2 linked regions of the Oryzias latipes genome follow. The protein of the gene in region 1 purifies or fractionates together with the protein of each later gene. This does not show direct contact. Links are inferred from orthologs where the notes say so. Each region holds a gene or a part of one and is shown on either strand. Other genes may lie near its edges.

Region 1 (4,258 bases):
AATTCTGTTTCTGTTGTTTGATTTTATATTTTCATGCTGGACTGGTTCTTCCAGCTGATGTAGAACCTTTGGACAGAAGAGCTAAAGTTTTACAACTCCAGAACAAATAAATAAAAATCATAGTGCCAAACCGCACCCCCCTCATGAGGATCTGCCACCCTCTCCACTGCCCTCTTCTGAAAAGGTTGCTTCTCTATGCATGAATAAGTCCTACGCACACAGAGACGGCGAGCCAGCCCACGCCGTGTGACGTTCTGTGGCTTCTAGCGCCAAACTGATTTGACAGCAAAACAATGTCACGTCTGTCAGCGACGCTCGCCGTCACGTGTGTAACATCGGGCAATGGAGAGCAAAAAAACCGTAAAACTTAAAATGACAATTGTTGATCTGATCGTGGGGCATTCAAACGTTTCCGGTATTTTAGAGAGTTCTGCGCGTGTAAAAATGAATTATTCTGACCGAAAAGGTGGCGTAACCCTAACCTTAAACGTTTGTTATGTACACAGTTCAATTCTAATCCCATCTTTGATCCAATCAAAGATATTTTGCACACAAAACCGCGGCTACTGATGCCTGGCTCCAACATGACGGCGTCCATACCGCAAAGAAATGGCGACTGAATCGACTTCATTTGGTACTAAACTATTTTTTTATGGGTGCCGTTGCTCAGTCCAGTTCTCAGCTACACTCAATGGTAGTTTTCTTAAAAAATGTTAGGTACGACTCATAGCATCTTTGAATACAACTTGCTGTTTTGTTTAATGTCTGTCAGTAGATTGAAGTTTTTATCCTGTTTTGCTGGAAGGTAAGTATAAATGACGGTCTAAAATCAATACAAGGAAACATCTGAATATTCTATAGAGGTCAGATAGTCTGCTGTGTCAATTGTTTAAAACAAAAAATAGAGTTAATTGACAAAAATTGTGGAGTTTACAGACAGCGATACTGGAAGAATTCCTGACGACTTTTTGTCTCTTTGGCTTGCCATACTCTTCAACGTCCTCGCGGTTAAATGTTTTGACGGACCACGACAGGGGAAAAAACAACGAAACTGAAATATCAGGCGACCTTTTAATAAAAACGCGTCCAGCCATCATCGAGTTGATCATGTGACTCGGTAAAATAGGTGGTTGATGGCGGCAAAGCGAGTCTTTGCGTGAAGCGAATGTTTTGCAGCGTGTGAATCACGGTAAACACGGTATCGACTCCTGGCTTCTAGGCGCACGCGCGTCTGCGACACCGACGGGATTGTCCTTCAAGTTCAGAGCACGAGCACGGGGGGGAAAAAACGTGTTCGTGTCGAAGGTTTTGTGTTTGGTTCGAAGGTTTCTAGCACGTAGCGGGGGGGGGGGGGGGGGCTGGGCTTCCTGTCCTGTCGGTACAAAGAAGGAAGCCGCTTCAGCCAATAGGAACGTAGCGCTGCGGGAACAAACAGCGGACAGCCAATAGGAATCTCTCCCGTTTCTTCCTCACCCCCTCCCTTCACGTGTCACTTTTGCTGTGACTGGACAGCCGGCAAAGCGTTGCAGTATTTTCTCTCGTGGCGCCGTGTTCGTATGGACCAATAGCAGCAGAGCATGGAAACAGCCAATGGAAACGAGAGAACGCACCCACCAATGAAATGTCTCCGTTGTCACTCCCGCTGTCAGCGCAGCCAATCACGTGTCCAGAAAGCCAGCTCGGGGCTCAACAGCTTGTTGTTCGTGTATCGTTTTGCAGCTCGAGCGAGAGGGGAAGAATTCGCGGCAGTGAATGTAAGAACGAATATTCCTATTAACCGATCAACACCGTTTTTTTTACTGCGTAAAGTGTGTCGGAGAGCGGGAAGAAGAGGGGCGCGCGGGTGTCAGTTGAGAGTGGGGCTGGCCGCTGTACGGAGGCTGCCTGGGAACTGAATGGCAGTGAAGAAATGTGGAGCTTCTGCGCCTTTGTGGAAGGCAGAAGAGCCGCTTATTAAATAAATAAGTTCGCGCAGCTCCCGCTCCGTCCGATGACACCGAATCGCGGCTTTTCGGACCGAACCGCCTCTCATATTCGGAACAAAAGCGATGCGTAGCAGTTGGCGGAGGCTTGTCTGCTAGTGGCAGACAGTTTAAATCACCGTGTGATCACTAACTAGCTAGTTGAGACGCTTGTTAGCTAAAATAGCTCGATGTCGCCGCGAACGAGTCGAGAGAGACGAAGCTCGCGCGCGGTTCGCACTTTTCTGTTTCCGTGTCGGGATTCTGTCGTGTCGCAGAAGCCCGTCCGCCCTCGTGTCGTCCAAAAGGCGGCTTTTTTTTCTCTCCCCCTAGCATGGGACGTGGTAAAGTTAGCCGAGCTAACTCGACTGACATGGCGAGCCGTGATCATGGCGACGTGACTCGGCGGCTGTGGGAGCGGAGCGGGAAGTGAAGGGACTGCCCTCCGCGGGGCTTTTTTTTTCTATCCTCTAGTACCGTCGGTCTGGAACCGGCGGGGATTCGGAGCTTACATTTGGCGGACGCTGTTGTTGGCTAAGTTTGTGTCACATATTTTGCCCAGATCCAGGAGGGAGGGGAGGGGAGGAGCAGCAGCGGGGCAGGAGAACGCTTCAGCTAGTGCGTGGCTAGTTGTTAGCTTTTACGCGGCTCCGGTTCGACCCAGCCCCCGCCGCCGTTCGGCTCCCAGCAGCCCCAGCGCCTCACCTCCCGCTTTGCTTTTTGTCTTCCAGAGATCGTAAGCCCTTCGAGCTGGACTCCCAGTAAAACCCGGACGGAGAGATGAAGGTGAGTGTTTTCCTGAAGAAGACGGCGCCCGCGTCCACTCTTCTTTGAGCCCGTCCATCATGGTGGAACCGGCTTGTTATGGCTGTTCACACCGGGCCGTTCACATCGGTTCTGCTCCGATCCCAGTCCAGGTTCAGAACTTTGGCGTTATTTTCGGTATCTGAAACGGAACCGTGTGTTAATTAGCCCGTAAAGCAGTTTCTCCAGACGCTTAAAGGTCAGTCAGTCAGAAAGTCGTCTGTCATTTTGGATCTGCTCCTAAAGTCCAAAAATAGAAACAGAAATCAGTTGTTTTATCTTTAAGAAAAAGGCACTTTTACAAACACCGTTGATCAAAGAGGATTTGTGACAGGATTCTAGAAAAACGTATTTATCCGTTGAAGGAGGAAAACCGAATCTGTCAAATGGATTTATTCAGATTATCTGTAGAATCTGGTGTTCGTCGGCCCGATGCTCGGATGTATATCGCATCAGTTCTAGGCACAAACGTAAATGTTTGGACGGTACTCGGGTCTGGAAGTGTTGTCACTGCAGAAGTGTGGGTCTCCCTGTAGAAGTTCTCCAGCTACACTTTGCTCTCTGAGTCAGGGAGACGACTGCTTCTTCGGCTCGATCATGAGGCCGCCGATCTGGACCTTGGGTCAGTGAGAGAACCCAAACATCGGCCAACCGACGGCAGAAATGCTTTGGACACGTTGTCGGATTCAGACGCTCTCAAAGTGGCGTAAGAACGGAGAAATGGAGCGCTGCAGTTCAGACAGACCACAATACTTATTAACCGGCTGTGTCTCAACAGCAATGAGAGTTTCCTGTTGGTGTCCTAAAGTCCTGATGGTAAAAATGAGTCTCAGGAGCTCCGGGTTGCTTCCCTTCTGACCGCAGCAGCAGTCGGATGTCTGAAGATGTCCTCCATCACGGCACAGATGGTGCCGTGCACATGCAGAGCTGAACGGGCTGCAGTCCACCCTCGCCTGCCAGTTTACTGAACTTAAATGAAATATAAATTCATCGAAGCTGGATTTTTTTTCTCCTCCTGTTAAAATGAAGTTCCATCTTTTGCTATGGACTCTGTTTGAGAGCAGGCCTGTGTTGTGTTTCAGGCAGCGGACGAGCCTGCCTACCTGACAGTCGGCACAGATGTCAGCGCCAAGTACAGAGGAGCGTTCTGTGAAGCCAAAATCAAGACCGTGAAGCGCATGGTGAAGGTCAAGGTAAGACCTGAGGGGGCAGGTGTGCGCGTGAGCTGGATGTGTGTGTGTGATTGTGCATCCGCAGGATGACGACGGCCCAGGAAACGGGATCAAACCACAGCTTATGCAATCACACCAGCTGATCACTTCCTGTCGATTAGTCACAGTAAAGTACATACAGCCACTTGGACACACAAAGTGTGACATTTTACCTCATTAACACAAACGGTTATTGCTACTGAAAGTCTTCAAGTGAGGTTTGTTTTTGCACAAACGTTGACAGTTTGATGGAGATTTTCATAACAAAAGACAAATTCCAGA
Region 2 (4,362 bases), on another chromosome or scaffold:
CCTGAAGCGGCAGCATTTGAGCGACTGCGAACACTTGCAGGGATGTCTGAGCTTCACTGCCTCTTTTACAGCAGACACACACACACACACACACACACACAAACACACACACACACTGGGGGCCCACTTTATCCTGCTGCACCGTCTCCTTGCCATCCCCTCCTACCTTCTTCCATGCATCCTCCTGTCCTGCTCCCTCATCGCTCTTGAGTTTCCTGTTTTCAAACAGATGTTGCCTTAGGTATTATTTATGTTACACAAACCAAATAAACAGGAGACATCTTTGCTTTTTTCTTTAGATGTGCTACCAGGTGGAGCTACATCTTGTGGGAGAATCTTGGATTTTCCTTTTTTGAGATTCTGTTTTTTTTTTTAAACCAATATTTTTTAGGTGTGTTTCATATTTGCCGTAGGCCTTGATGCAGTGATGCTGTTCAGATAAACCATGTGTTTGAATGCTGGTCTGTTTATAAATTGTGATCGCGACCCTTCTCAACGCCAAGCCTTGGACTGATTTGTTAGCTGAAGAAAAATCCATTCAGATGTGATTGTTTTTGCCTTCTCAATGATGTTTCCAGATAGATCGACTGCTGTTTTTTAGTTTTTACTTTTCTTCCCTTTTTCGATCAGTAAAATTGCACCAGGCAAGTTCAGTCAGCAGCTGAATTTCAGTGGATTTTCATTTTTAAAGTTCAAGTTTTGGATTATTATTATGTCTTCTTAGACTGTTATTGACAAGTCTGGTTTTTTTTTTACTGTTTGGGAAAGAAAAAAAACGATTTTACCATTGAGGTTAAATACAAGAGCTAAACCATGCAGATTAGACGTGTTAGGGGAGTGTACAGTTTTTAAAAATTAGGCAAACCAACAAACACATGTAGCAATATCAACAACAGGTCTTGTTTTTGCCCAATTTTGTTACTTTTATGCAACTTTAATAAAAAATATGTAAAACTGACGATTTGTGGATCATTTTCTTTTAATGTCAATATTTTTGCTCTTCCGTTTATTATTACACGTATCAAAAAAAATTTTGCTGTATATGCATGAGGTTGAGCAAAATTATTTTATGCTCAATTTCATTTTACATTTTGCGTTTCATGTGACGTAAACATAATCAGAAATTGTATTTTTTTCTTGTAGTGTTGTGTTTAAACAACAATTTTTCATTCTACTTAATTATATTATATTTAAATTATATGTTGGAGATGTATATCTAAATTACAATTGGTTCATAGAAGCTGTGTCTTCATTCTGATTGGACAGGGTGCTTGCGGGATGGTTCTTCCTATTGGATAGTCAGGAGCAGCCCTCGACGCTGATTGGTTGATTTTACAGTTCACAGAGTCCGGCAAAGTGTCTAACTGAAGAGGAGCCGATCGAAGAGGAAGTACTTTCCAAAATGGAAATATATCATTAAACCGAACGTTTCTTCTGCATAGCTCGGCTAAGGGACACGGTAAGATGGCTTTCACGTCTGACTTAACAGTAATAAAGATGATTTATGTTTGTTAGTAGCGGATAGCATCCCCCTGTCCGCTCGGACTCAGGGAGTGCGTTCTTCGAGTTAATCCGTGTAGTTCGGTTGGCAGGTCGGTCTGCAAGATGCTCCTATGATTCTCTGGAGTGCTAATTTCCATCTTTAATTAATAAAAACGTTTCAAGAAGATTTCCATGAGAAAGGCGGTTCCTTCGTGTGTAAATGTGATGCGTGCGCAGTGACTGCCGTCTCCGTTTTTGATTCAATTGTTAGCTTGTGTTGCACTTGACTTCACGGAGGTGTGTTTGAGCTCAATGTGGTGAAAGTGCGGCCGAAATGCGAAATAAACATTACAGGGTTTTTAAGTGAGTGCAGCCTTCAAAACGAGCGTCTCTTTTCCTGACTTTAGTGTAGGCTTTAAATCCCGCCGTTGCTTTCATTTTGTTTACCAGTTTACTCTACCTCCATACGGAAGCCAGTTTTGGTCAAGTTAAGCACTGTGAAAGCGGACTTCCGGTTTGAATAAAAACCTAAATGGCAATTTTCAACATTATTGAACCTTTTTAGGCCTTTAGACGTTTAGAAAAAAATTATTTTCAGTTTTTACCACACGCTTATTACACATTTTGCCATGTTATGCAATGTAAAATAATTATTGTTTATTTAGCATTTGTTTTTAGCTAATCGATTTCCGGTTTTGACCCTTGTTATTGTAGCTTTATTAAAGCTAAGTCATCGTCAAGGTTTGACTTAACCACATTACATACTGAATAAATGTAGTTGTAATTTAATGAATTCACCTGTAGAACGTGTATAATAATGTAACGTGAATCTGTTAGACCAAAAACTGTTTGGACATCTTTAAGAATCTTTAAAACTCCTAATGTTATCAAATAAACGAGGTCATCCCATCAGTAAAAACACAAATGCCGCATATCTTACAAACATCATCACAAGAATACTTTAAAAAATATATGGCTTTGATTTAAAAGCATTTGTTTTGCCAGATGTTATAAATGCATTTCTGACATACAGTGTAGGAAGTGTTTGATCTCTTGCTGATTTTGTTGGTTTGCATTCAAAAGAAATTGTCATCTGAACACTATGTTCATTTGAACAGTGAAAGATAGAAAAGCGAGAAATCGATTTTAAAGTATTTGTGAATTTATTTGCGTTTCATTGAGGGAAACTATTATTTTAACTGTCTTGCTGGGAAGACGTAGTACTTTATTGGAAAAGCCTTATTAGCAGCACAGAAGTCAGACATAGTTGATTATCAGGTTTCTGCACATATCAGGAAGAATCTTGGTCCACTCTTCTTTGCAAATGACTTCTAAATCATCAAGCCTTAATGGCTGTCGCTTAGCAACCCTAAGCTTCAGCATTCCCCATAGATTTTCTATAGGACTGAGGTCCAGGGCCACTCCATGGCTTTGATCTGCTTCCTCTGCAGCCATTTCCATGATTGACTTGGCTGTATGATCAGATTTAACTTCCTCCTCCACGCTCGACAGTGGGGATGGTGCTCTTGGGGTCAACAGATCTAGAATCTTCTCCAAATAATCCAGTGAAAGCTCTTTAGTCTCTCATGTTGGAGAGTTTGGAGTCTGAATGATTCTGTGGACAGGTGTCTTTTCTACAGGGGATTGGTTCAAACAGGTGTCTTCAATTCAGGTGACAGGATTAGGAGAGTCTGTGTGAACCAGAACTCTTAATTCTTACTAAAGGATCAAATACTAATTTCCCTCAGTGAAATGCAAATAAATGTATATCAATTCTTTTAAATGGATTCATTGGTTTTCTTTGTGATTTTCTAAATCGCATGAACCATTAAGATGACAGACTAAAACCTTTTTCAGTAACACTCAGGTAGGTCTGTGGACCATCAGGGACATGTGGATTTTGTGACTGAAAGCTTTTGTCGTTGAGCTTGTCGTTGTTGTTTCCAGCTCGCCATGCCGGCCCAACCCCCTGTGAGGGAGCCAGAGGAGAAGATGGGGGCAGAAGGAGAGTCCCAACTCCCTACGGCCAACGGCGACACGGAGGAGCCAAAGCGGAATGAAACGAGAGCAGGAGGGGGAGGAGACGAGCCCATGGAGGAAAGCATGGAGGAGAGGGACAGCGACCTGGATGAGACTGAAGAAGAGGAGGAGGAGGAGGAGGAGGAAGAGGAGAGTTCAGGTAAAAACAAAAAAGGTTTTTTATAGAAGTGATTCAAAAATGCAGAGAGAATAAATTTCCTTTATGTGTCCTTTTGTGAAGAGATGGACGATGAAGACTGTGAGCGGAGGAGAGGAGAGTGTCTCGATGAAATGATGGATCTGGAGAAACAGTTTCAGGAGCTGAAGGAGAAGTAACTCCAAACTTGGCACTGGGGGGGGGGTATTATGGGATGTGGTCTGCTATGTGAACATCACTGGTCAGGAAAACCTCGACTAAAGGGCCTCTGTGCTTGCAGGCTGTTCCGGGAGCGGCTGAACCAGGTGAAGGTGAAGCTGGATGAGGTGCTGACAGGAAAGGCTGGAGAGTACCGGGAGCCGCTGACGGCTCTGCAGAACAGCATGCAGATACGGACGCAAGTCGCCGGTAAAAGAAAAAAACCCTCCTCCCTTCTGCAGCTACGTTCACCCCGCCTCAGTAACGCACATTCAGGCGTAAATGCACGTCAATGTGCATTTTGGACTTCCATGTTGAAAACTCTCATGTTCACGAGTTGTAACGCAAGTTTCTATGAACATTTTTTGGCTCTAAGTACAAAACGCGGGGCCATTGAACGTGTTTTGCAAGTTAAACCAGTCAAACTTTGACTAATCAGAGACTCTGATTTGGTAGTGACGTTTGATTTGCGTCCCTTTTCATTCACAGAACCATTTGAAAACTAA

The links.
Region 2: the proteins of arid4a (region 1) and brms1 purify together in Homo sapiens (affinity purification with western blotting; 3 studies listed by BioGRID and IntAct, with this or other methods). This does not show direct contact. The link is inferred for Oryzias latipes from reciprocal best matches to the Homo sapiens genes ARID4A and BRMS1.

The regions. Positions count from the first base shown.
Region 1 is NC_019880.2:2,469,757-2,474,014, forward strand, and holds the start of arid4a (AT-rich interactive domain-containing protein 4A), read left to right. Parts: upstream 1-1,405; 5' UTR 1,406-1,754; intron 1,755-1,785; exon of another isoform or gene 1,786-2,579; intron 2,580-2,588; exon of another isoform or gene 2,589-2,692; 5' UTR 2,693-2,741; coding exon 2,742-2,747; intron 2,748-3,847; coding exon 3,848-3,958; intron 3,959-4,258.
Region 2 is NC_019876.2:12,603,159-12,607,520, reverse strand, and holds the start of brms1 (breast cancer metastasis-suppressor 1), read left to right. Parts: upstream 1-1,327; 5' UTR 1,328-1,459; intron 1,460-3,238; exon of another isoform or gene 3,239-3,349; intron 3,350-3,429; 5' UTR 3,430-3,435; coding exon 3,436-3,661; intron 3,662-3,742; coding exon 3,743-3,833; intron 3,834-3,938; coding exon 3,939-4,066; intron 4,067-4,362. UniProt on the Homo sapiens protein: Transcriptional repressor. Down-regulates transcription activation by NF-kappa-B by promoting the deacetylation of RELA at 'Lys-310'. Promotes HDAC1 binding to promoter regions.